Linked DNA regions of Notamacropus eugenii. The protein of the gene in region 1 binds, or shares a complex with, the protein of each later gene. Links are inferred from orthologs where the notes say so. Each region holds a gene or a part of one and is shown on either strand. Other genes may lie near its edges.

Region 1 (7,323 bases):
TCCTTTTCTGGCTCTCTATCTGAAGCAACCAGAACTCACTGAACAAAATTATTAAATAGATGGCATCACAGATGTAATTGGAGAGGAAGACCTGAGTTTATATGCTGCCTCTGGCTGTGTGACCTTTGATAAATCATTTGGCCTCTCAATGCTCTAGGCCAGTGTTTCTTAAACTGTGGTCCCATATCATGCGCTTTAAGAAGCACTGAAGGGGTCTTGAGTGGAAAAAATTTAAGAAGCCCTGCTCCAGGTAACTCTCTCAAGGCCGTAAGTTGCAAAGAAAATGTTGACCTACATTGGTACGTATTTCTTCATCTGACAGTTCTTTATACCAGTGAAATCATAGGTCTAGTTGTGGTCTCAATATAGGTGCTAAACCAATAATTTACATTTTGCATTCTAAAGACAATGTAAATAATTCCAGTCTAAACTTGGGTAAAATTCTAGTATTTATTCAACCAAAATCTATTCAGTGAATATCTATGGGCAAATCATTATGGAGAAAACAAAAGGGGATAATTCAAGAACACGTATTATGCACTTGCTCTGCAGAATATAGTAGAAAAGGACACCTAGGCATTCAGAGTTCTATTTGAAGTCAGGAAAACTCATCTTCCCAAGCTGAAATCTGGCCTCATACACTTATTAGCTGTGTGGCCCTGGGAAAGTTACCTAACCTTGTTGGCCTCAGTTTCTTCATTTGTAAAATGAACTAGAGAAGTAAATGGCAAACCACTCCAGTATCTTTGCCAAGAAAACTCCATATAGGGTCACAAAGAGTCAGATCTGACTGAAAACAAGGAGCAACAAAATGTAGAATAGTAATGGCAGTAAATGCTGGAGATACAAGGAAGAAAAAAAATGAATCTATGCCCTCTTAAGATTCTGATCGTGGAGGATAACTCTAAAACAGGTTAGAATGTAATAAAGAGACCAAATGGATACAGCACTAGCCTAAGCATGTGGAAACCTGTTCTGTACTTGCTGGTTATGTGACCTCTTTGGGAGAGTCACTTAACCTCAATGAGCCTGTTTTTTTATGGAGAGGGATGAGAATAGACTAGAAGATCACTAAGCTCCCTTCCTGCTCTAGTATTCTATGAAATCTCTATACATAGTAAAGATCAGAGAGAAAGGAAGCTGGAAATGAAGGAGCTACTTCTAGCTGGTAGATCAGATAAGACCTCATGGCTTCATGGAAGAAGTTGTATTAAGTCTCTGGCCCCAAGGAACTAACTATAATCTCACAGGGCATATTAAGACACCTAAACAAATAAATGTAATATAGTAGATCAACTGGTTTAGACAAGGCCTTACAACATATAAATTGATCCTGAATCATGTCTAAAATGTAATATAAAGCAGAATATAAGTGATATACAAGAAGCATATACAAGGTATGGCATGGGATCTGGTGGTGGGGAAGCAGGAAATCATGGATTGGACAGGGAGTGAAAGATGACTCCAAAGTCTAAGGTTTGAGCTAAGTGTGAATACAGTGGTGACATATTATAAACAACATCAAAAAACAAAGAAGGATCACAAATACCAAATGCTGTAAAATTAACATTATGCCATGCAAAATATGAATGATAAATATTAAACAATTTATTCATGGGAGGCAGCTAGAGTGGAGCAGTGAATAAAGCAGTGAGCCTGGAGTCAGGAACACCTGAGTTCAAATCTAGCCCTGAGGATTCTGTGCAAGTTATTTAGCCTCTATTTGCCCGTAAAATGCAAATGATAATAATAACAGCCCTACCTCCCAAGGTTGTTGTGGGGATCAAATGAAGCAATAATTGTAAGGTCCTTAGTATAGTGACTGGCCCAAAGTAGATGCTGCATAAATGATAACTATTGTCATTATTATAATACCTTTTTATTTTTTGTCTTACACCTAATATAGGGGTAGGGACTGGACCTATGATTTCATTGGTATAGGAAACTCAGACCCTACCCTTCAATTTAAACTCCTGGAGAGCTGCCTAGGGCACTGAGATGTTAAGTGACTTGTCAAAACGCCAGTCTCTGTCAGCAGTAGGTCTTGGGACTCAAGTATTCAAAATTCCAAAGCTTGAAGTTCTCTATACACATCTATCAAATTAGAAAGATCACCGTACAAATAAGAAGTCTAAGCTCCTGGGCCCTGGAAGTCATCGATGAAACCCACTAAGAGAATAGTTTCATTAATATTAAGAATTTCAGAATCTGATATAGAACCAAAGAGTCTGGATTCAAATCCCTATCCAATCTGCTAGTGAAGAGGCTTTTCACCTGGGATCTGAGGACAGATTTCAAAGTGTAAGTGAACTTGGAGAGTGGAAAAAATTCATTCCTGTGTATTTTACTTTACACATGTAAAACCATTCTGAGAAGAAATCGACAGCTTTCCCCAGTCTGCCCAAGGGCACAAAAAAGGCTACGCATCCTGGCCCTAGCCCCTGGAACCACCAAGAACCTGTCTCTGGGGACCACTTTTTGCCCTTTCTCGGTATCCCCGGCGCTGCCCACGATGAAGAAGCGCTCTCTCCGGGCCGGGCACCGGGCTAAGTGTTACCCAAACGCTGGGCTCACAAAGAAAAGCAAACACAAAGAGCCGCCGTTCTAATCCGGCGCTCAGTCCCCTCGCCCCCATCCCTAGGCCTCCACGCCCGCAAGCCCTCGGCAGCCCGCAGAGGTCTCACACTGCGCCGCCAGAGCCCAAGGTGAAGACCGCCGAGGAAGAAGAGCGAAGCTCCCCTGGGTGATGCGGAACCCTGCGGGGACAGTGCGGCTCCTCCGAGGGGGGAGGGGAAGGAGGGGCGGCGCCGGCTCCGCCCTGGGAGGAGGGGCGAGAAAGGAGCCGGACGTCAGGCCGAGGAGGTGGGGAGGCCGGCCCGCGAGACGCTCCCGCGTTCGAGCTGGGCCGGGGCCGAGGGGCGCGCGGCTGCGGCGGGGAGGAGATAGCTTACCTGGAGGTGCCCGTCCCGAAGGAGAACCCTCCTCCTGTGGTCCCGGTGCCCCCCGTGGCGGTACCCACGGAGCCCAGCGTCCCCGTCCCGAAGGAGAAGCCCGTGGACATGGTTGAAGCCGGCCAGCCGCGGCCTGGGCCTCGTGTCTCGTCTCAGCGCCGAAGGGGAACCCGCAGCATCCCCCCTACAGTGGCCGGCCGGGCTAGCGGACGGGCGGGAACTTCGGTCCAAACCAGGGGGCGGGAAAGAGGAGCGAGCGAGCGGCCGCAACCCCTGGGCCCGCGCACGCCGCCGCGCGGGAGCCGGCCGAGCCACCGCGGTGCACCATGGGATGGAAGCCGGGCGACGTCAGCAGCGCGCGTCTTAAAGGGACAGGGGCCGGTCCGGAGCCACCCTTCCGATGAGTGCCCTGTCCTTCGCCTTAATGTGATTGATTTCGTGGGCACATGTGGCATCGGGGCCCCAGGTAGAATGTTGGACCACAGGTTTAGAGACAAGAAGGGACTTTATGTGTCATTGACTCAAACCTCATTTTACGGATGAGGAAGCTGTGACCCAGAGCGGTCCAATCAATCAATCATCGATCAAGATTAAGCGCCCACTGTGCCAGACGTTGTGTTACGGCCAGGGATAGTAAAAGAGGCAAAGTCATAAATTAGTGGGTGTTGCCCACTTCAGTCCCTATTAAAACAAAAAAAGGAGGGGACAAAGTGAGTCAAAATGGCTGTAAGTGAACTTTTGCACAATTACCAAGATTTTGAGGAGCGAGGTAATGGTAATTTAAAAACTCGCTAGGATAGAAAGCCTGGCCTCCGTTATGGATCTGGCCCTTCTGAATCCTCCTTTTGACAGTTCTAAAATGAAAGGTGCTCCATAACCCTTAATCCAAAGCCTAGGAATGGGAAATACCAGAAGGGAGTGGCTAGAATTAAGAAGGGCTGGGGAGGACTTCCAGCAAAAGAGGAGCTTTTAATGGCCAAGGAGGCCATTGGGGGAGGGGAGGAAGGAGAGAGTTCCATGCCTGGGGGACGGCCAGAAAAAAAATTCTCATTGATTAAGCACTTGCTAAGTGCAGGGAATACAAAGAAAGGCAAAACCAATTAAATTCTCTGCTTTATTGGTGCTCACAGTCTAATAGAGGAGACAACCATATACATATATATATATATATATATATATATATATATATATATATATATATATACACACACATATAAATGTATATATGCATGCATACATACACATACATGTATGTGTATGTATGTATATATACACATACATATACGTTATATATACAACTATATATGCAACAGATACATACAAGATAAATTGGAGATAATTAAGAGAGGAAAGCCATTCTGAAGAAAATGGGATTTCAGCCGGGACTAGAAAAAAGCTTATAAGTTAATAGAGGACATCAAGTAGAAGAGCATTACTTGCCTGGAGGACAGCCATTGAAAAGGGAGCTTCTTGCTCCTCAAGTGGCCTTAACATCCATGCAGATAACTCCCTGTTCTAGCCCTAGGCAGTCTCTGGATCTCTAGTCCCACATCACCAACTACCTGTTAGACATTTTGAACTTGGATAGGCATCTTAAATGTAGGCATCTTGTAGGCATCTTAAATTCTAGTGCCAAATAGTAGTCATTCTCTTTTCCCCCAAACCAACCTTTCTTCCAAACTTCACTGTTTCTGTTGAAATGCTTCTCACTCTCCCACATCCCATATATCCATTGAGTTGCTTGATCTTTCCATTTCTACCTTTATAACATTTTTCTCACATCTAACCTTTTCTCTCTACTCTTAATCACCACCTTAGTCTAGGCCCTGATAATGTTTAATATAAAATTTTGGAATAATCTCTTTGTTCTCTCTGAAGCAAACTCAGAGAATGCCTCTTCCTATGTCAGCAAAAGCCAGCCAAAGCTGACTCTGCATTCCTTGGAGACCTTTAACCTATGACATATCTTGAATAATGGGTCTTTCCTTTGTATCTTATTATCTATAGACACATACTATGTTATGGCATATTAATGGTAAAGAAAATATAGACATCTTAGGTCATAATTTCTATTGAACATTGTTTGCCCCTTCCTGTGTCAGTTATCTGGGGTGGGATTTCCTTCCTTGTCACCAAGACATATGTTTACCCAGCTTGGAATCTCAACATTTGATTGACATTACTTTGTTAATTGTCTTGTCTTACTAAATTTATGATTTGTTCAACTAGGAGAGTTCCTTTCTCACGGCAAAATGTATATAAGCCAGAAGATTTCTGCACTGGGTAGCCAGAACATTTCTGGCTCCATAATGCATTATGTAACTGTTTTCTTTAATAGGGAATTGATTAATTAATTAATTAAATCATAAAATGTATGCATTTAGCCTGCTGCCTTTCTTTAACCAAGTTTTCAGGTCAACAGCCCTCATCACTACTCAGCTAAACAATTGCAAAAACTGCCTTATTGCTATCCCTGCTTCAAGTCTTTACCCATCCAGTTCCTCTTTCCCTCAGATGCCACTGATCATCCTTAAGTGCAGAGCTAATGATGTAATTCCCTTACTCAATAAACTTAAGTGGTCCCTATTGTAAGTAGGATAAAATATAAACTCTTCTGTTTGGTTTTTTAAAGTCCTTCACAACCTGACCCCAACCTACCAGTCCACTCTGATTATACATTACTTCCTTTGTTGTACTATCCCATCCAGCCTCAGGGCTATCTCCAGTCATTTTGATTATATCTTGCCACTGGCTAGATGGCTCCAGAGGAGAAAGTGAGACTGGTGACCTTGCACAGCCCTTAAATCCAGTTCATTTGCATGTCCTAGCATCATCTTCCTGATGTCATGGTTCTCTTTGAGAATGAAGGATAAACAGTGACTTGTGAGTAGTCCAAGCTGCTTCACTGGGGATCCAACTGGCCGGTTCCAGTTGGACAATGCAACTCCTTCCTTCTTTCATCCTTTCCCTTGTTAGCAGGATTTTACTGAGTCATTTTTTAATCTGAGAATGATGCAACTGCAGACTAGAGACAAAGTGCAAGTAATCAGGTAGCCATTTAATTAATTAGTTTCATTATGAGGAGTAGATTTGCAAATCAGGAATTCTCCTGATCAGAATTCCACCTTGCTGAAGTGATGACAGAAATTCTATACATAAAACACCAATGGGATGGAAGAGTAGAAGAGTAGAAGGTGGATTACAGTCATTCCCAGGGCCAGAGTAGTTTCCCAGGATAAACCCACAATTTTGGAGTCCTATAAGAGCAACACTGCCCAAGTCTTGGGAGTGTAATGGTAAGGGAATTTGAAAATCTTCCCTGCCCCTTAATAGGCCCATGTGACCTGCTTTGAGCTTTGGCCCAGTCCACAATTTGAGTCTCATAGAGCTGATGGTGGAAGGAGCTTGCTGAATGGGTGGAGCAAGAAGGATACAGCAGGAAGAGAGGAAGGTGGAGCTGAGAGGCAACAACAGTCAGAGCAGAGCAGCTAGCCTAGGTGGGAGAGGGGCATTTTGCCTAAGGGGCCTTGTTTGTGGGGAGGCCTGACCAAGGGAATGCTTGGGGATGGCTGTGCTCTCTATTGGTAATGTGTATAAAGTTCATTGTTACTATGGTGGAATTGGCTTTCTGGTATCTGAATAAATTATCTTTGTTTCATCTTTGAGGAAGAGAGTTTATATTTTGCGAATTTACCCTCAAAATACACCTGCATATGCATATCCTGCTGTAGGTATCTCACCCACGCTACAGGGGGTCATTACTTAGTGGGTCACAGGTTCTACAGGCTTGGTCTGAAGGCAGAAGGATGCCAGTGATTGAGTCTTGTCAAGGTTTGATTTATGAGTTCAAACTGCATTGTGAATGACCCACAAGCTAGAAAAGGTAATTCTGCAAAATCAAATCTATTGGTGTATTCATTACACATATATTGATTATTATAAAAACCAGAATTCCCTCCACACCTTGCTTTCCCTCTACTCTTCCCTAAACCTTTCCCTTCCTTTTTCCCTTCCCTCTGTCCACTTAGGGTTATCATATCCTTATATGCTAGTGCTTTGCCCAAAGTATGTAAATTTTGATGGTTGAAACCTAGCAAGATATCTTGGGATTTAAGGGCTAGAATTCTTGCTTAAGGACAATGCCTTAAACGTAATTCACTCTGGCTCTCATTGATTGTCAAGGAATAGGTCCCAGGCCAAGCCCCACTTGGTTATTGTTTGGACCCTGATTGTCTCAGAGTGAATGTAAATAGTAATTGTTTCTGTTTTGGCCAGAAAACCTCAGGGTCTTCCCCTCCCAAGATAGATTTTTTTTTTTTTGATTACATGAAAGAGGCCATTCTTTGCCTCATTTCTTACCTAGCCTTAATCA
Region 2 (8,170 bases), on another chromosome or scaffold:
CTTTTCACCACCTCAAATAAAAGAATTATAAATATTTTTGGATATTCTTAGAGTTTGCTTTGCTTTGAACTAATCCCTCCCTTAATCTACCCTCTTTCTAATTCCTCCTTCTCCCTTCTCCCCTTTTCTTCCTATTTCTCTGCTGGGTGAAATGTATTTCTATTCTCAACTGTACATATTTCTTCCTTTCTTTGACTAGTTTAAGTGAGAGTGAGGTTCAGTGCCAGCTGCTTTCTTCCTTGTTTGTGTAGACCAAATATGTGAGATAATTTCCACCTAATCTTCCTTTCCTTTCCTCATCCTAGTATCATTTCCCCCTACTTTTCCATTTTTCTTTTAAGATAATCAGGACATAACAGAATCATTTCAAGACTTTCTGTTTAATTAGACTCCTCCTATGAACCCTGATAAGATAGTGTTCAGAGGAAACGCAGGCCTCATCTTTCCATATTAGAATGTAAGCAGAGACAAATGATTGAGATACAAGAGTCAATAGGTCTTGACAGTCACCTGAGGGGACCTTTCATATGTAAGCTTGATAAAGATTGTATGTCTTACTAAAAGAAAAAAATGGAAAGTACTCCTATAACCCAAAGGACTCAAGAATCTCATTCTGGGAGAGCTTTAACACTTTCCTGGGAAGAGATAGAGAGGAGTGGATGACAGGTGGAAGCAGAATGGCAACCGACCTTGAAGTGTTTAATAGGACTAAGAGATGGGAGTGACACTGAGCATTACCGTGTGGAGCTGGAGGTAGCAGTAATAGAGTGAATATTGAAGAGTTCAAGGGTTAAGCAGGAACCTCAGAATCAAGAACTGGAGGAGAGACCAGAACCAAATTGCGAGAGCTACACCAGGAATAAGCAAATCTGGACCTTTCCTTCCACTGGTATTGTGAGTCATAAGTACTGTAAGGTGCCAGGTGGAGGATGGTGCGTGTGTGTTTGTATGTGTGTGTGTGTGTGTATGTGTGTGTGTGTGTGTGTGTGTGTGACTATTAGCTACCTAAATTATTTTGTTGGGGCTCTATATCACAATAATGTTATAGAATTTGTGGGGAAGGTGGGAAAGTAGAACTCTGCATAGAACAAACTTTTCTAGACTGGCTTGAGTATGAATTCTAAATGCATTTGTCATTGTGGCAATTAACTTGTTCTGTGTTCTATACCTGGCTAGCCTGCGTCCTTGGAGGAGAATTGAGTGTCCCTAAAAGTGAGGTAGAAATGAATTGGATCCACATGGTCTGAAGGTTTCCCTGGGTGGGCACATGAATCAAAAAATTACTGAAAAGCTTCCAAGATTGATCTCAGTCTCTTTGAGCCCAGAGGTATGGATTCTGGACTACAGATTACAAAAAACAAAGATTGCCATATTTTACAATTATTTGGTATTTTATATTTTGCAAAGCTCATTGTCATAACATCTAGTCAAGTTTGAGGGCAGAAGAGAGTAGGAAAGAAACAGAAATGAAACTAAGTTAAATACCTTTTTTATACAAAACTTTGGAAGAAGACTAGCCTTTTTTCTGGATATGTATGGGAGGTATATGTAGATATAAATGGATATTTCCCATAATGCCTGGGTTACAAGGTTTGCTGGAAAGAAGAAAGTCTGGAAGGGGACTTTAGGGGATACAGGGAAGATTAGTATCATAGAACTGATTGGACAAGGAGATATATTACTCAACCTAGTGACAAAGAACAGTTGAGCCAGAAACAGCATGGGCCCCACAACAATCTGTGCTGTACAGAAAGGCAAGGGCAGGACTGGCGTCTGAGATAGGTGTATGTTGGAAGCATGGATGCCAGAGGAAATGAGGAACACAGCCAAGATTCCAAGTAGGCCACAAGAAGAAACACAATTGTTGCATTCCCAAGGTTCCCAGCTCTTCCCATACAACTAGAATTTCCCCTATGATGTTGTGAGTTTTGCTTCTGTGGTTACAAACCAATCTTTTCAAAGAGGAAAAATAGACATGTTTCCTTCCTATCCAGACTCCGAAATGAATCCTGTTTCTGTTTTCCACGTTTTGTAAGAAACTATTCGTATTCATATGTTTATCAAAAGGTTCTTTGTGGGTGGGGAGGGTGAAAGTAGGTGCTGGGAAAGGAAGATCTGACCATAGCAAGTGGAGACCCAATTTCAGATGTCCGTAGAGAGACCTCTTGGTGAGACAAGCCAAAGGCATATTAATTTTTAATAGAGAGAAATTCCTCAAGATTGAACCTAATTTGCCTGGTAATAGGAAGAGTGTGTTAAGAAGCCCCACCAGGGGTCCTAGAAACCCTGATTTTATTTCATGGGTTATATAGCTAAAAGGCCCTGGGATATTAAGGATGTTTAACTGTTTTCTTAACTAAATGAGACACCAAGAAACAAGTGTCATTCATAGCCTGGATCTTTATTATTATTATTATTTTATATTATTGTTATATTATTTATAATATAATATAATAATTATACATATATATAAATATATATGGGGGTAGCTAGGTGGTACAGTGGATGGAGCACCAGTGCAGGAATTAGGAAGATCTGAATTCAAATCTCACCTCAGACACTTGACACTCACCAGCTGTGTGACTTTGGGCAAGTCACTTAACCCCAATTGCCTCATCCTGAGTCATCTCCAGTCATCCTGATGAAAATCTGGTCACTGGATTCAGATGGCTCTGGAGAAGTGAGGCTGGTGACCTGCACAGCCCTCCCTCACTCAAAACAAAGTCAAGGGCAAGTCATGTCATTTTTTCTCTGATGGCATGGTCTTCTTCAGCAAGGAAAGACGAACACATTCTGCATTCTACATTGTACATTATATTATATATAATATGTAGTAATAATATATTATTATATTAACTTTATTATCACCATATTTTTCCCTAAAGCCAATCTTTAATTTTTTTTATTCATTCATTATAGGTGTGTCCTTACTTTAAGACAAACAGAGGTTTCTATTTGGATTATCTCACTCATAGTGAGGAAAAGCCTTGTTGGTACAGGCTCTGCTCTGTTCCTCTAAATTCAGGGAAATGCTATAGACATAGTTTATCTAAATTTCACAAAATTTTTAACAAACACTCCCACCTTCTCTTTGTAAAAGAAAGATAAGGGCTAGATCAAGGCTGGGGAACCTGCAGCCTTAAGGCCTCATGTGGCCTTCGAGGTACACAAGTGAGACCTTTAGACTGAATCCAAACTTCATAGAACAAATCTCCTTAATAAAATGGTTTGTTCTGTAAAACTTGGATTCAGTCAAAAAGCTGCACCAGAGGACCTAGAAGGCCACATGTGGCCTTGAGGCTGCAGGTTCCCCACCCTTGGGCTAGATGCTAATTATGTTAGGGATTTAGAAGTAGGTGAATGACTGAACTCAAAAAATAATCATTAATGGGTTGATATTTACTTAGAGAGAGCTTTCTAATGGACTGCCAAAGACTGTCTGTATTCCTCAACATTTCTATCAATTACTTGAAAAAATGCATAGGAAAGAAAGGAAACATGAATATATGAAGAGCCTATTATGTGCCAGGTACTGTGCTAAGAGTTTTACAAATATTATTTAATTTGATCTTCATAAGAACTTTGGAAGGTAGGTGCTTCCAATCTTGCAGTTGAAAAAACAGGCAGAAAGAGGTTAAATGATTTGCCTAGGATCACAGGCTAATAAGTGACTGAGTCCAAATTTGAACACAGGTGTTCATGACTCCAGTCCCGGGGCTCTATCCACTGCTTTACCTAGTTGCCATAATAACCACAAATCCCATGTGTATCATATTTGCAGAGGACACAAACTTAGGAGGGATGGCTAACACATTTGACGACAGGATCCAAAAGGATGGGTCTTGATAGCCCGGAATGGTAGGCTGAGTCTAATCATTTGAAACACTGTAACAATTAATGTAAAACACCAGACATTCAAAGCTGTTTTAAATGCACTTCACCAGGTGCAGCACGCAGGGAGCTGAACTTGTGGTCAGGAAGACTGAGCTGAAGCTCCTCCCCAGACCTTCACTGCAGGACCCTGAGCCAGCCACTTCATGCCTTTCTGTCTCAATTTCCTGTAAATTCTGTAAGTGGGGATAACCACGGTGCCTTCCTGGTAGACTAGGATTATTCACTTAATTCCAGCGCCTGCCTCCTGTTAATCATTTCTTACCTATCTGCCAGGCTGCTTGCCCTGCATCTGCCTGCATGTCAGCTGCCCCATCCCAGGGAAGCTCAGGACAGCAGGCACCGTCACTAGCCTCTTTTTGCACCTCCAGAGCTTAGCCCAGCACGGGGCACATGGTAGGCCCTGAATAAATGTTTACTGAACTATCATAAAGATACAAGGAGGTAAGGCTGTCAAGGCTCTTTGCAAACCTTGAAATGCCATGTAAAGGCTGGCTGTTAGGGGACATTATTATCATTATTGTTCATTAACACAGATACAAGATGTGGAGGCTTGGCTGGGCAATAGTAGAAGATCTAGGGGCCCGGGTGGACTGCAAGCTCAGGTCAACAGCAGGGCATGACAGCCAGAAAGCTCAATGGAATCTTGGGTTGTATCGACAGGCATAAAGCCCGGGACGCCGATTCCCAAGAGTTAGGAGGGGCTATCTGGGCCAACCCGTCCCTGAAGAGGAATTCCCTCCACAACCAACTGGTCGCTCGGTCTTCACGTGAGGACCTGCGGCTCGTGGCCCGTTAGCCCAGGCTTGGCACGCCAGGCGCGGCTCCCCACCGCGCGTGTTCTTGTCCCTGAGCGCCCTCTACCAATAAAGTTAATTTGGCGGAGAGTGCCGCGCGGAGGCTGCTGGGTAAGGCTCCTTCCGCCAATCAGGAAGCGGCGGCTCCCTCCCGCCTCGTTCCTGCTCCTTCTCCGAGCCGGCTACGGCGGCAGCGGCCGCGGCTCCAGGGCCAGGTAAGGAAGCCCCCGGCGGCCCGCCCTCCATCCCGGGCTGCCCCAGGGCCGTGCCGGCCTTGCGCCCCACCGGAAATAGCGCTCCTGAGGTGTTCCACCGCCCCCGGCCCTGCGCCCGCCCGCGCTCAGACCTCCCCGTCCAGCCCGGGGTCACGCCCCACAATCCCCCCTCTGCAGGCCGCCCGTGCCTGGGTGGGGTCGCGTTCAGCGTCGTCCCCACCCTAGGCTTGGCTGGGTGCCCAGCAGAGCCCCCCAGAAGAGCTCCCGCCGCCCCAGTACGCTTCATCTCGTCAGCCAGGCCTCTGCCCTCCCATCCGCCACCCCATTCTATTACGGAGTCCGGCTGCCTGGAAGCCCCTGCTCCCTGTGCTCCCTGAGGGCTGCTTTGCCTTCTCTCCGCTACAGAGAAAGGCTCTGGAGCACAGCGGGGTTCACGGTTTCCAGCGACTCTGCCATCCCTTCTCTCCTCCCTCCAGACCCCTGGGTGCAAAGGCCAGGCAGCTGCTGTCTGAAGTATGAACTGTGCTTCCCAGGAGGCACAGAAATTAAGTCTGGAAGCTGCTTTAGAGCAGTCTAGGCATGGGGTCCTAGGGCTGAAAGAGACCCGGGAGGTCTAGGCTAAGCACCTCATTGTACAAGTGAAAAGTCTGAGGCCGAGGTTCCTGATCACACAGCAAGCAAGAGGCAGTTCCTCTAATTACAAATCTAATGCCCTTTCCACTGCCGTACTCCTTCCCCAACCCTTTTATTTTATAGGTGGAGAAGCAGGCCTAGTGGAGGGAAATGATTTGCCCATGATCTCCTGTCTAGTCGGTGAAGAAGCATTTATTAAGTGCTTGCTATGTTCCAATCAATCAGTAAGCATTCATTAAGTGTCTACTCGCCAAAAGGCACTGGACTAAGACTTAGGGATGCAGAAAGAGGCAAAAGACAGTTCCTGCCCCTGAAGAGTTTATAATCCAATGAAGGTGACAGCATATAAATGCAAAGCAAACTATATACAGGATAAATAGATAATAGAGGGAAGGCACTAGAATTAAGGGTAGGCTTTCTGCAGAAGGTGGGATTTTATATGAAAATTGAAATCAGGGAGGTCAGTAGTTGGACTGGAGGAGGGAAAGTGTTTCAAGCATGGACGGCAGTCAGAGAAAATGCCTGCAGCCAAGAGCTGCAGTGACTTTTTCATGGAATAGCCAGGAGTTAATGGCAATGGATCAAAAAGTTTGTGTAGGGAGGTAGATATAGCTGTCCTTTCTGCTTTCAGTGGACCAAAGTGATATCACTACGTGAGGGTCAAGACACAGTGTGTGGGACTGTGGCTGATTAGACCAGTAGGAGCTTGGGAGCTACCACAGGTTAGACACAAATATTCCAGTCCATATGAACGTTTGGAGTGGAGATATCCCTAAATTTGTGCATTTCACATTTTTTTTTGAGCTTCTGAAATTCCTTGCTCATAGAATATAGTATCTTCTTTGATTTGGGCATGCTTTGCTCGGTGGTCCTATGCCAGTGTCTCCCATGGAGTAAAGTATAAGCAGATTGGAAAGGTAAGAGGGGTCTAGTCAGGGGTGGGGAACATGCAACTTCAAGCCATATGTGACTTTCTAGGTCCTTAGGTTGAGGCACTTTAAATCCAAACTTCACAGAACAAATCCCCTTACTAAAAGGATTTGTTCTAGAAAACTTGAACTCAGTCAAAAGGCTGCACGCAGGGACCTAGAAGGCCATATGTGACCTTGAGGCTGCTCTGTGTTAAATCATCTTTGAGCCTTATCTGTAAAATAGGAGGTAGTAATGTGTTCTATCTAGAATACTGTTTTTTGTGAAGGCAGATAATGTGATTGATTTAAAGCTTGATGTTCCCCTATTGTGGTATAAGAAATGATGAACAGGAAGACTTCAGAGAGGCCTGGAAAGACTTATATGAACTGATGCTGAGTGAAAGGAGCAGAACCAGGAGAACTTTGTACACAGCAACAACCACAGTGTGCGAGGAATTTTTCTGGTAGACTTAGTACTTCATTGCAATGCAAGGAATTAAAAAATTCCCAATGGACTCTTGAGGCAAAATGCCTTCCACATCCAGGGAAAGAACTATGGAATTCGATCGCAGAATGAAGCAGACCATTTTATATTATGTTTTGTTTTGTTTTATGATTTCTCCCATTCATTTTAATTCCCCTCTGCAATATGACTAAGGTGAAAATGTATTTAATAGGAATGTATGTGTAGAACCTATATAAAATTGTATGCCATCTCAGGGAGGGAGGGGAAGAAAAATCTAAGACATATGGAAGTGATTGTAGAACACTGAAAACAAAATAATTTAATTTTAAAAAATATTTCACTTTTTAAGAAAGAAAGAAAAAAGCTTGATATTCTCATGTAAAGTATAGTTAGTGGGGTTTTTTTGTACATTGGTCTTTTCAGGAAAAGCAGTTCATATTTGTTTACATCATCCAATACAATGAATATAATAGTATGTAAACTCCTTGAGGACAGAGCTTGTCTCATTTTTGTTTTTATATCTTCAATGCCTGGCATACAGTAGGCATTTAATAAATACTTCTTGATTGGTTGTGTTCAGAATGAAAGGTGGCTCCCTATCTTAAGGCTTCCTCTGATTTTTTAAGTGTCTAACAGACACTTGGACTTTTGTGTTTGTCACACTTTGTCAGTTTGTCACACTTCACATACCAGATAATAAATAGCAAACATGTTGAAATTTACAAAGTGCTTGATGCACATTATCTCATTTTATCATTACAGCAGCCTCTGAAGCTGGTAATAACAATATAAGGGTAAGTGTCCTGACCACATTCTAAATGAGCCTCAGCGGAACGGTTTTGGTCGGCTTAGTCAGCCAAGGCGATTGACGAGATGTAGCATCTTATTGGACAGGTAGGGTAGAGAAGAGTATGAGGTGGAGGTCCTCTGGATGCAATCAGATTTCAATATTGTTCACACACCTTTTGTATTATTGCTTCTTTTCCTCTGCTCCTATATCTACAAAATGTAGATTTATATTTATGCCTTATGGTATTAGGGACCACGATGTAGAAAAGGAGACATACATAATCAGTTAAACTATCAATCGTTTATTATGTCCCAGACATTGTGCTGTGTGTAACTGGATTAGATCGAGGAGAAATCAGTCATAGGACCATGGGTTTGGAGATGAAAGGGACCTGGGAGGTTGTCAAGTCCAGTGGTTCTTTGCCTTTTTTGTGGATGCTGTGTTCTGCAGGAGAACTTTTCTGACTC
Region 3 (7,355 bases), on another chromosome or scaffold:
CAGTCATCCTGATGAATAGTTGGTCACTGGAGCCAGATGGCTCAGGAGGGGAAAGTGAGGTGACCTGAACAGACCTCCCTCACTCAAAACAAAGTCAAGTGCAAATCATGTCATCATTTTTCTGATGTCATGGTCTTCTTCAAAAATGAAGGACGAATACAAGATCCATCTCCAACTTTCGTCTGAGAAATATATACTTTATGAGCTGACCCTCTGACTGTAGCTATTTTTCAACCACTTGTTTTTAATTCTGTGCATAGTAAAGTTGGACCATCCTAAAGTGACTCGGGTCACTCCTTTGCAGGTTTGTAATCAACACCATGTCAAGGGTATTTAGAGAACCTCTGTCTCTACAGGGAATCTGTCTTCTTTGAGATTGCCCAGGTTCAGAACTGACACATCTGATAAGAGTATATATCCCTCTTTCATTCTTTTCTTGATATTAATATTCAGAAAACTATTAAACAAGATCATCTCTGTTACAGCTTTCAAGAACTTTAGGCCTTTTGATGGAGAACCTTTGAAAGGTGTCATTTTGTTCAGCTCAATGTGTCCTCCTCAGACACAGCTCACTCTGGGAGGTGGTGAGCAGTATCATCTCTTAAAAGAGGTAGAATCAGTAGAGAAGAAAACAGACTTACAGGAAACCTGCAAGATCCAGCCAAGCCCAATTAGTTTCATCTTCAAATGCCTTCTGGATGACTTGGCTTAGATGGGTCTCTCACTAGGCTCTCTCTCCATTACTCATCATTTACCTCTTTAAGATTTTACAACCAAGATTTTGCATTTACAAATGTAATGAGGTCACATTTTGTGATGTGCCCCTGTTAATTTGGAGGTGGAAGAGACGCCATCTTCAATTTCTTTGCTCATTTATGAGACATCTCATTGTTTTTTTGTTTTGTTTTTTTTTACAAGACCTGAAATCAAATGAAGCAAATACATTGAGAGCATCTCCCTTTACAGAACAATCTGTGGTTGACCCCTAAACAATTGAAGCCAATTAAGAATACATGCTACTCATTGGTAACTCATGAGAGAGTGGCCTTAAACCCTGGCATCAGCAAAAACTGTGTTTCCCTTCTGCCTCTAACACATAATGGCTATATCACCCTGGGAAGGTCCTTAATCGCTCAGGGTCCCAAGCAGGCCTCTAAACTGCAGAATGGTTTGCACTGGTAGAGGGGGTTACCTATATCAATGAAACAAATCATAGGTCAAAGTCTTTACAAACCTTAGTCTTGTCAACATCACAGGGAATTAAATGGCCAGTGTTATTCAACTCATTTTGTAGCTGGAGGACTAGTCAATAGAACCCAAATCTCTTGGCTTTGCAGCTCCAGAGCTTAGCACAGTTTCTGACACATAATACGTGCTTACTACATTTTATAGACTGACTGACTGCTGTGGTTGGTTGCTGCCACTTGACTTTTCTTGTCCTTGAAAGGAAAAACCATTAAAAAGCCAAATAAAATAGTTAGCCACTGCTGGGGCTTTTATTTGAAAATATGGTTGATTTTAAAAATTAAGCTGGTTATTGAGATTTGCTCTTTATAACAGAAGGGGATCTTCAACTTTGGCCTGTCATAACTCTCCCCCCACTTTTTAACTACTCTTCCTTTCTTGCTATTGAAGAAGATATTCAGAATACTACACATTTAGTTTTTACAATGGACTCATTTAATGTGATTCTAAGAATGCTTGTTTCTACTTTAAAAATAAAATGTTTCACTAATAAAGTTATCATTTTTACAAAACTGAATCTAGAAGTTTTTGATGGCACCCATGACTAGGTTTTGACTATTTGTTCTAATGGTAGTTAATCCCAGAAACTCCAAAGGAATCAGAGAAAAGTTGAAAGGAAAGAATGGGGAACGTATTTGTTCTTCCTTGGGTTTCCTTGTGTCCAAAAGTTTGTTTGGGCGTTTTCAGTGTGAAAACATTTGGGAAAAATCTGTGGCCTACTCATTGGATCTGACAACCAAAATCATAGATTGTTTTTTAAATCCTCGCAACCTCATAATGTAGCATCACTTCATTCATTCGCTAAACAATTTCTAATTATCTCCTGTTTGCTGAGAACTATGGTAGGCAGTCTCAGATATATACAGAGTTTAGGCAAAAGACAGTCCTTGTACTCTTAGAGCTTAGAGTACAGATATTACAGGGAAGGGAAAGGTAATAAGTATTTATTATACCTACTATGTACCAGGCTGGGTATCTATAGTACTACAGAAATATTATCTCATTAGATCCTCACAACAACCCTGTGAGGTACAGTTATTAATGCTATTGTCCCCATTTTACAGTTGAGGAAACTGAGGCAAACAGAGATTAAATGACTTGCCCAGGGTCACACAGCTAGTAAGTGTCAGATGCTAGATTTGATCTCAGATCTTCCAGGACCAGTGTTCTATCCGCTGTGCCACCTAGCTGCCTCCAATAATTTAGGGGGGGATGATACAAATAAAAAACCAGTAAACAAAACTGAGCAGTGGTCAGAAAGGTAGGATGAGAACCAGGAAAGAAAAGGGTCAGGAAAACCTAGAAAGGAAAGGGCTCCAAGGAGAACTGTCAAACGCTCTAGTAGGGTCTGTAAAGTGGAAATTTGTGCCAGTTAAGACATCTTTGTTAACTTTGTCAAGAGCCCTTGTTAAAGATCTTTGTTAACTTTTCAGTTGCATGAAGAGAATGGAAGCTATATTGCAGTGCATTAAGAAGTGAGAGAAAAAGTGGAGGCACCTAGTATAGAGGGTTTTTAAAAGGGTAATATTTATGTGATACGATCTGAGGTCTAGCCTGTCTCTTGGAGAAGAGCTAAGGCTATATCTCTACCACCAGCACTCTAGCTGGGGGACAAGGGGCAGGGAAAGACAGAAGAGGTAAGCAGTCCTCAGGAGTGAAGCCAAGGCTGAATGCTCTTTCAGAAAGAAACGTCTTTGAACATATAGATTAAAATGATATTCATCTGATACCTGGAAAATATTTCTGGCCTAGGGGCATAATGGGTTCTGATCAAAAGTTGCTTCCCTGATTCTTCTTATGGGGGGAGATAGCCACTCACGAACCTGGCTCCTTCCCACCACATGCTGGGGACCCAGAAAACCATCACAGCTCTCAGAATTCTCCAGTAAACGAATTCATGAAAGGAGAGTTATCCAGCAGCAGCAATAGCTGCTGGCTGCTTCTGCCCACCTCAGTCCATCCTCGAGCCCCTGGAGAGATTTTCCTAAAATTCAGGTCTGATCATGTCACCTCCCTACTGCCTCCAGGAACAAATGCAAACAACCGCTTGGGAAAGATCTCAGCAAACCTGCAACTCTAGGGGTCCAGGTAAAGTTTCTCTAGGATGCTCTACAGGGAAGCACGTGCCCAGCCCTGGGACCAGGGCGGGCTTAGGGCGTGGCTAAGGAGGGGCTACTTCTTAAAGGAACAGGCACTTCTGGTATCTCCTGCGCAGCTACTTTACCCAGAGTTCATCGGGAACGAGCGAAGGGCGGGCTCCATGGAGGCGGGGCTTTAGACCTGAACCGCCCACAAACGGTCAGGACTGCCCCCATCAGTGCCCGGTTAGACGAGATGACGTAAGGGAGCAGGCCCACGTCCGAGCCTAGGACACACAGACGTAGGCGCCAGGTCAGGCACGTGACCCGATGACCCAGGCACGGCGAGCTGGATGGGGGAGAGAACGGGCGTTGGTTTCGAGCCGGGGCCCAAGCAGGGGGCACCCCAGCACCCCGGCACCGGGAGCGCCCCGCCCCCTCTCCACCGCCGAAATCGGGCGTCCGATGAGCCCCGCCCCTGCATGGGGAGGGGAAGAGCTTCCATAAAGGTCTCTAAGACCCAATCACAAGCTGATCCCAATCCGCGGGGGAGGGGAGGGCTCTGGGGCGCGCTTTCCCCCTCTTTCCTCTTTGTCTCTTTCGCATTCTTTGTTCGCACGAGGGCAGAGAAGGAAACCTTCGGGAAGGAGGACGGGAGAACAAAAGGCAGGGACAAACCCCCAAAGATCCCCGCGGAGACCCTGGGGGGGCGGGAGGAGGAAGGTACCAGTTTCCAGGATTTGCCCGGGCCGGCTGAAGGATTCACCGTGCGCATGCGCACTCTCCCCGCGCCGCGCCTCGCGTAATACTTCTCGGTGACGTCACAGACGCGACGCGGGCTTCCTCCGAGGCCCCGCCCCCCCCGCCGCCACCTGCCGCTCCGGGAACCCTCAGGCTTCGGGTTGCCGCTGCTCGGCCGGACCCTTCCACTGGTTGCACCGAGCGCCCCGTGAGAGCCGCCGCGGCCCCGGCGGCGCCATGGCCTTCAACTTCGGGGCTCCCGCGGGCGGCACGGCCACGGCCGCCACCCCCGCCGCTCCCGCGGGTGAGTGTGCAGAGCGGGGGCGGGGCGGGCTGGGGAGATCCGCCGGGGACCCCTCCCGAGGGCCGCCCAGGCCTGCCCGGCCCCGCGTGGGTGCGCCCCCAGCTGAGGGCGGGGAGGGGACCCTCGAGGGCCAGCCGGGCGGGGGTCTTCAGCGAAGAGATTCAGGGTCCCCCCCGCCCGGCGCCCGACGTCCTGGGGGAGAAGGGGAGGGGGGACTCCCGCTTGTTTGGGCCGGCGCCCCGCCCCCCCGCGGTGCTCTGCAGTGGGGAGCCGGGGCCTGCCCTCGGGGAGCTGCCCGTCGGACCGGACTCTGCGATGCTTACGTGCTTTCTTTTCTCTCTCTCTCTCTCTCTCCCTCTCCCCCTCCCCTTCCCCGCCCGTCAGGATTTGGTGGGCTGGACGCCGCCAGCTCCACCAACAGTGGGTTTAATTTTGGGGGTTTCGGCTTAGCTGCCAATCCTGCGGTGAACTTTAATATTGGGAATTTCGGCGTTTCCACCAGCGCCGCGGCCCCCTTCAGTTTTGGTAACCCTCTGGCCAGCGCAGGTAGAGAGCCCCCCGTCACCTCGTGGATGGCCTAGCAGGACTCCAAAAATGCGCTGCCCCTCCCCCCGCCCAGCAGGGGTGCCCTCGGGCCGCCCCTCCCCCCACCCAGCAGGGGTGCCTGCAGGCCGCCCCTCTCCCCGCCGGATTGGGCCCGGTGGTCCCGGGGGGAACCCCGAACCCCCGTCCCCGCTGTGGGCTTGTCATCGAGCCAGCCCCCGGAGCCCGCCCCCCCATTCTTGGACTCCTGCGGCCATGTGTCATCGTCCGTCCGTCCGTCCATCCATCCTCCCTTGTCATCCGCGTGCTGTCCTCAGAAGCCGCAAATCGCACAAAACAGCCCCTTCCCTCCGTGTCTGAGCCCGTCAGGAGGGATTGGGTTAGACCCAGACACCGGGTTCTGAGAGCAGCCGCCGGGCCGCGTGATGGGCAGTTGTGGGTCTAACTGGCAGAAGGGCGCGCACAGGTGTGTGTGTACCTGCCAGGCGTTCGGCTGCTTGGACATAAACTGAGTGTTCCGTGCTCTTACCTGGCGTGATCGGCAGCTTCGTGCCCTCTGCCAATTTAAGAAGTTGCCTTCAGAAATGTGTTTGCTGCTTACAGCTAATTTTTGGATAATTCTTTAAATTATTTTGCGAATCCCACGTTGTACGAGCCCCACGTGTTCAGGCCATCCTGTGCCTAACTTTGAGCAAAAAATTTAACATGAAAAATGACAGAAAATTTCCTGGGACACAGAAGTCATGCGTTGTATTCTTCCTGTGCTGTTTTATTAAATTACAAAGTACTTGCGTTCTTTTTAATTCCTTCCAACAAGTATTGGTTAAGCATGTGTACTGGTTGAAGGCACTGTTCGGGTGCTGGGGATTCAAAGATGAACAGGCTGCTCTCAGGGGGCTTACAGTCTAATGCTGTAATACCGTTTTACATGTTAACAGTAGAGGAAAATGGAGTTTTGTGTGTGATTTGTGCTTCTGAATAGAGCTACAACTCGGCAAAAATAAATGACAGTGTTAATTATGGTCTATTTTATAAAATGATTCATTGTTTATCTAAAAACACTGGCATTTCCATTTTTATTGATCACAGTCCATGTGTTATCAAATCACTTACATCACTATCATATTTGTACAATACTTCGCTATTTTTTTTTTTACCATTGACAAATATAAACTAAATTAACTGTTCAGCTTCTTTTATGCTGTGGTAAGTACGTGAAGTAAATCCTCCATTGATGATAAATTGTGCCCTACTGAGCCCTTTAATTATACCTTTAGAAATACTTTTTTACTCGAAATTTCAAAGTATATTCTTGAACTTTGCATATTGAAATGGAGGTCTTCAGCCTAGTGTATCTTGCTGAATTTTAAGTGTTGGAACCAAAACAAGTGAGAATTTGGCCACATATGAGATGTTTGTTAAATTGTCAGCATCTAAAATACTGTCAGGATTTTTTTTAAAAGATCTTTTTAATGTTCATACATGCATGTCTATAATATGTACACACAATATACATGAGATTCTTTTATAAAACAATGTACTGGAATGTTGATGTCAGAACATTTTTATAAAATAGCTTACAGACCCCAGGCTAAGAATAGGGCCGCTATTTAACAGCAAGAGCACACTCCTAACCATAGTGTCTCCATGTTCTTTCTTGTGATCACTAGGCACGTTTGGAGGATTTGGGACGACCACCACCACGGCAGGTTCTGCATTCAGCTTTTCTGCTCCTACTAACACCGGCACAAGTGGTAAGAGCCCAGACTGGACAGAGTTAACGATAGAACTAAACAGCCTTGATTCGGGCTAGTTGGGCAATTGCGTCTTTGGTGACACTTTTGTAAACCCGATTTTTTCTTCAAAGGACTCTTTGGTGCTACTCAGAACAAAGGTTTTGGATTTGGTTCTACTGGTTTTGGCACAACTGCAGGAACCAGTACTGGTTTGGGAACCGGGCTAGGATTTGGAACCTTCAGTACCCAGCAGACTCAAAATAGTAAGTATGAGAAGGTTGTTTTACTCCTTAAAAATTCGTGTCAGGTACTGTGTTCTGAGAAATCAGAATTTAATCCTGAACTGTTTGCTCATTTCATACTTTTCCTCATTGTATGACCTCTGTCATATGGACTCAACATATTTGTGTTATCCCCCTTTAACTGGGCCGTCCTCATAGTTAACCCTTTTATTGCTCCTTAGTTGATTCCCCTTCTCACTCTGCAAGTTTCTGAACCTTTGCTTCTCTCTCCCCCACCCCCACCCCCCTTCCACGCTCTCTGCTGAGGACCTTGCCTCTTCCTTTGCCAAAGGGTCATTTTCTTCCCCTCAGAACCCCTGGATGGCATCTTCTGCCTCTTTTCCCTGTTCTCTGACAAAGAAGTGACCCCTCTCCCTGCCCAGGCCAGCGATTGTGCTCATGACCCCCTGCTTCTCTGTCTGTCTTG

The links.
Region 2: NUP58 (region 1) and NUP93 share a complex: the UniProt entries of both Homo sapiens proteins name them as parts of the p62 complex. The link is inferred for Notamacropus eugenii from reciprocal best matches to the Homo sapiens genes NUP58 and NUP93.
Region 3: the proteins of NUP58 (region 1) and NUP54 are in contact, whole or in part, in a crystal structure (PDB 4JO7), measured with the Homo sapiens proteins. The link is inferred for Notamacropus eugenii from reciprocal best matches to the Homo sapiens genes NUP58 and NUP54. Residues at the interface, in NP_054808.1 of Homo sapiens: Pro342, Tyr345, Phe346, Leu349, Val350, Phe353, Gln356, Leu357, Tyr360, Gln363, Ile364, Leu367, Leu371, Gln374, Ser378, Ile392, Tyr393, Phe396, Leu399, Ala400, Leu403, Ile406, His407, Val410, Lys414, Tyr417, Tyr420, Arg421; in NP_059122.2 of Homo sapiens: Tyr453, Leu459, Glu462, His466, Leu467, Gln469, Gln470, Gln471, Gly473, Leu474, His476, Leu477, Ile478, Ile480, Ile481, Asp484, Leu485, Ile488, Lys489, Leu490, Val491.

Annotation. Positions count from the first base shown.
Region 1 is NC_092876.1:192,733,863-192,741,185, reverse strand, and holds the start of NUP58 (nucleoporin p58/p45), read right to left. Parts: upstream 3,302-7,323; 5' UTR 3,062-3,301; coding exon 2,952-3,061; intron 1-2,951. UniProt on the Homo sapiens protein: Component of the nuclear pore complex, a complex required for the trafficking across the nuclear membrane.
Region 2 is NC_092872.1:474,257,652-474,265,821, forward strand, and holds the start of NUP93 (nuclear pore complex protein Nup93), read left to right. Parts: upstream 1-4,799; 5' UTR 4,800-4,903; intron 4,904-8,170. UniProt on the Homo sapiens protein: Plays a role in the nuclear pore complex (NPC) assembly and/or maintenance. May anchor nucleoporins, but not NUP153 and TPR, to the NPC. During renal development, regulates podocyte migration and proliferation through SMAD4 signaling.
Region 3 is NC_092878.1:151,162,731-151,170,085, forward strand, and holds the start of NUP54 (nucleoporin p54), read left to right. Parts: upstream 1-4,204; 5' UTR 4,205-4,301; coding exon 4,302-4,368; intron 4,369-4,752; coding exon 4,753-4,914; intron 4,915-5,361; exon of another isoform or gene 5,362-5,616; coding exon of another isoform or gene 5,617-5,695; intron 5,696-6,581; coding exon 6,582-6,665; intron 6,666-6,778; coding exon 6,779-6,910; intron 6,911-7,355. UniProt on the Homo sapiens protein: Component of the nuclear pore complex, a complex required for the trafficking across the nuclear membrane.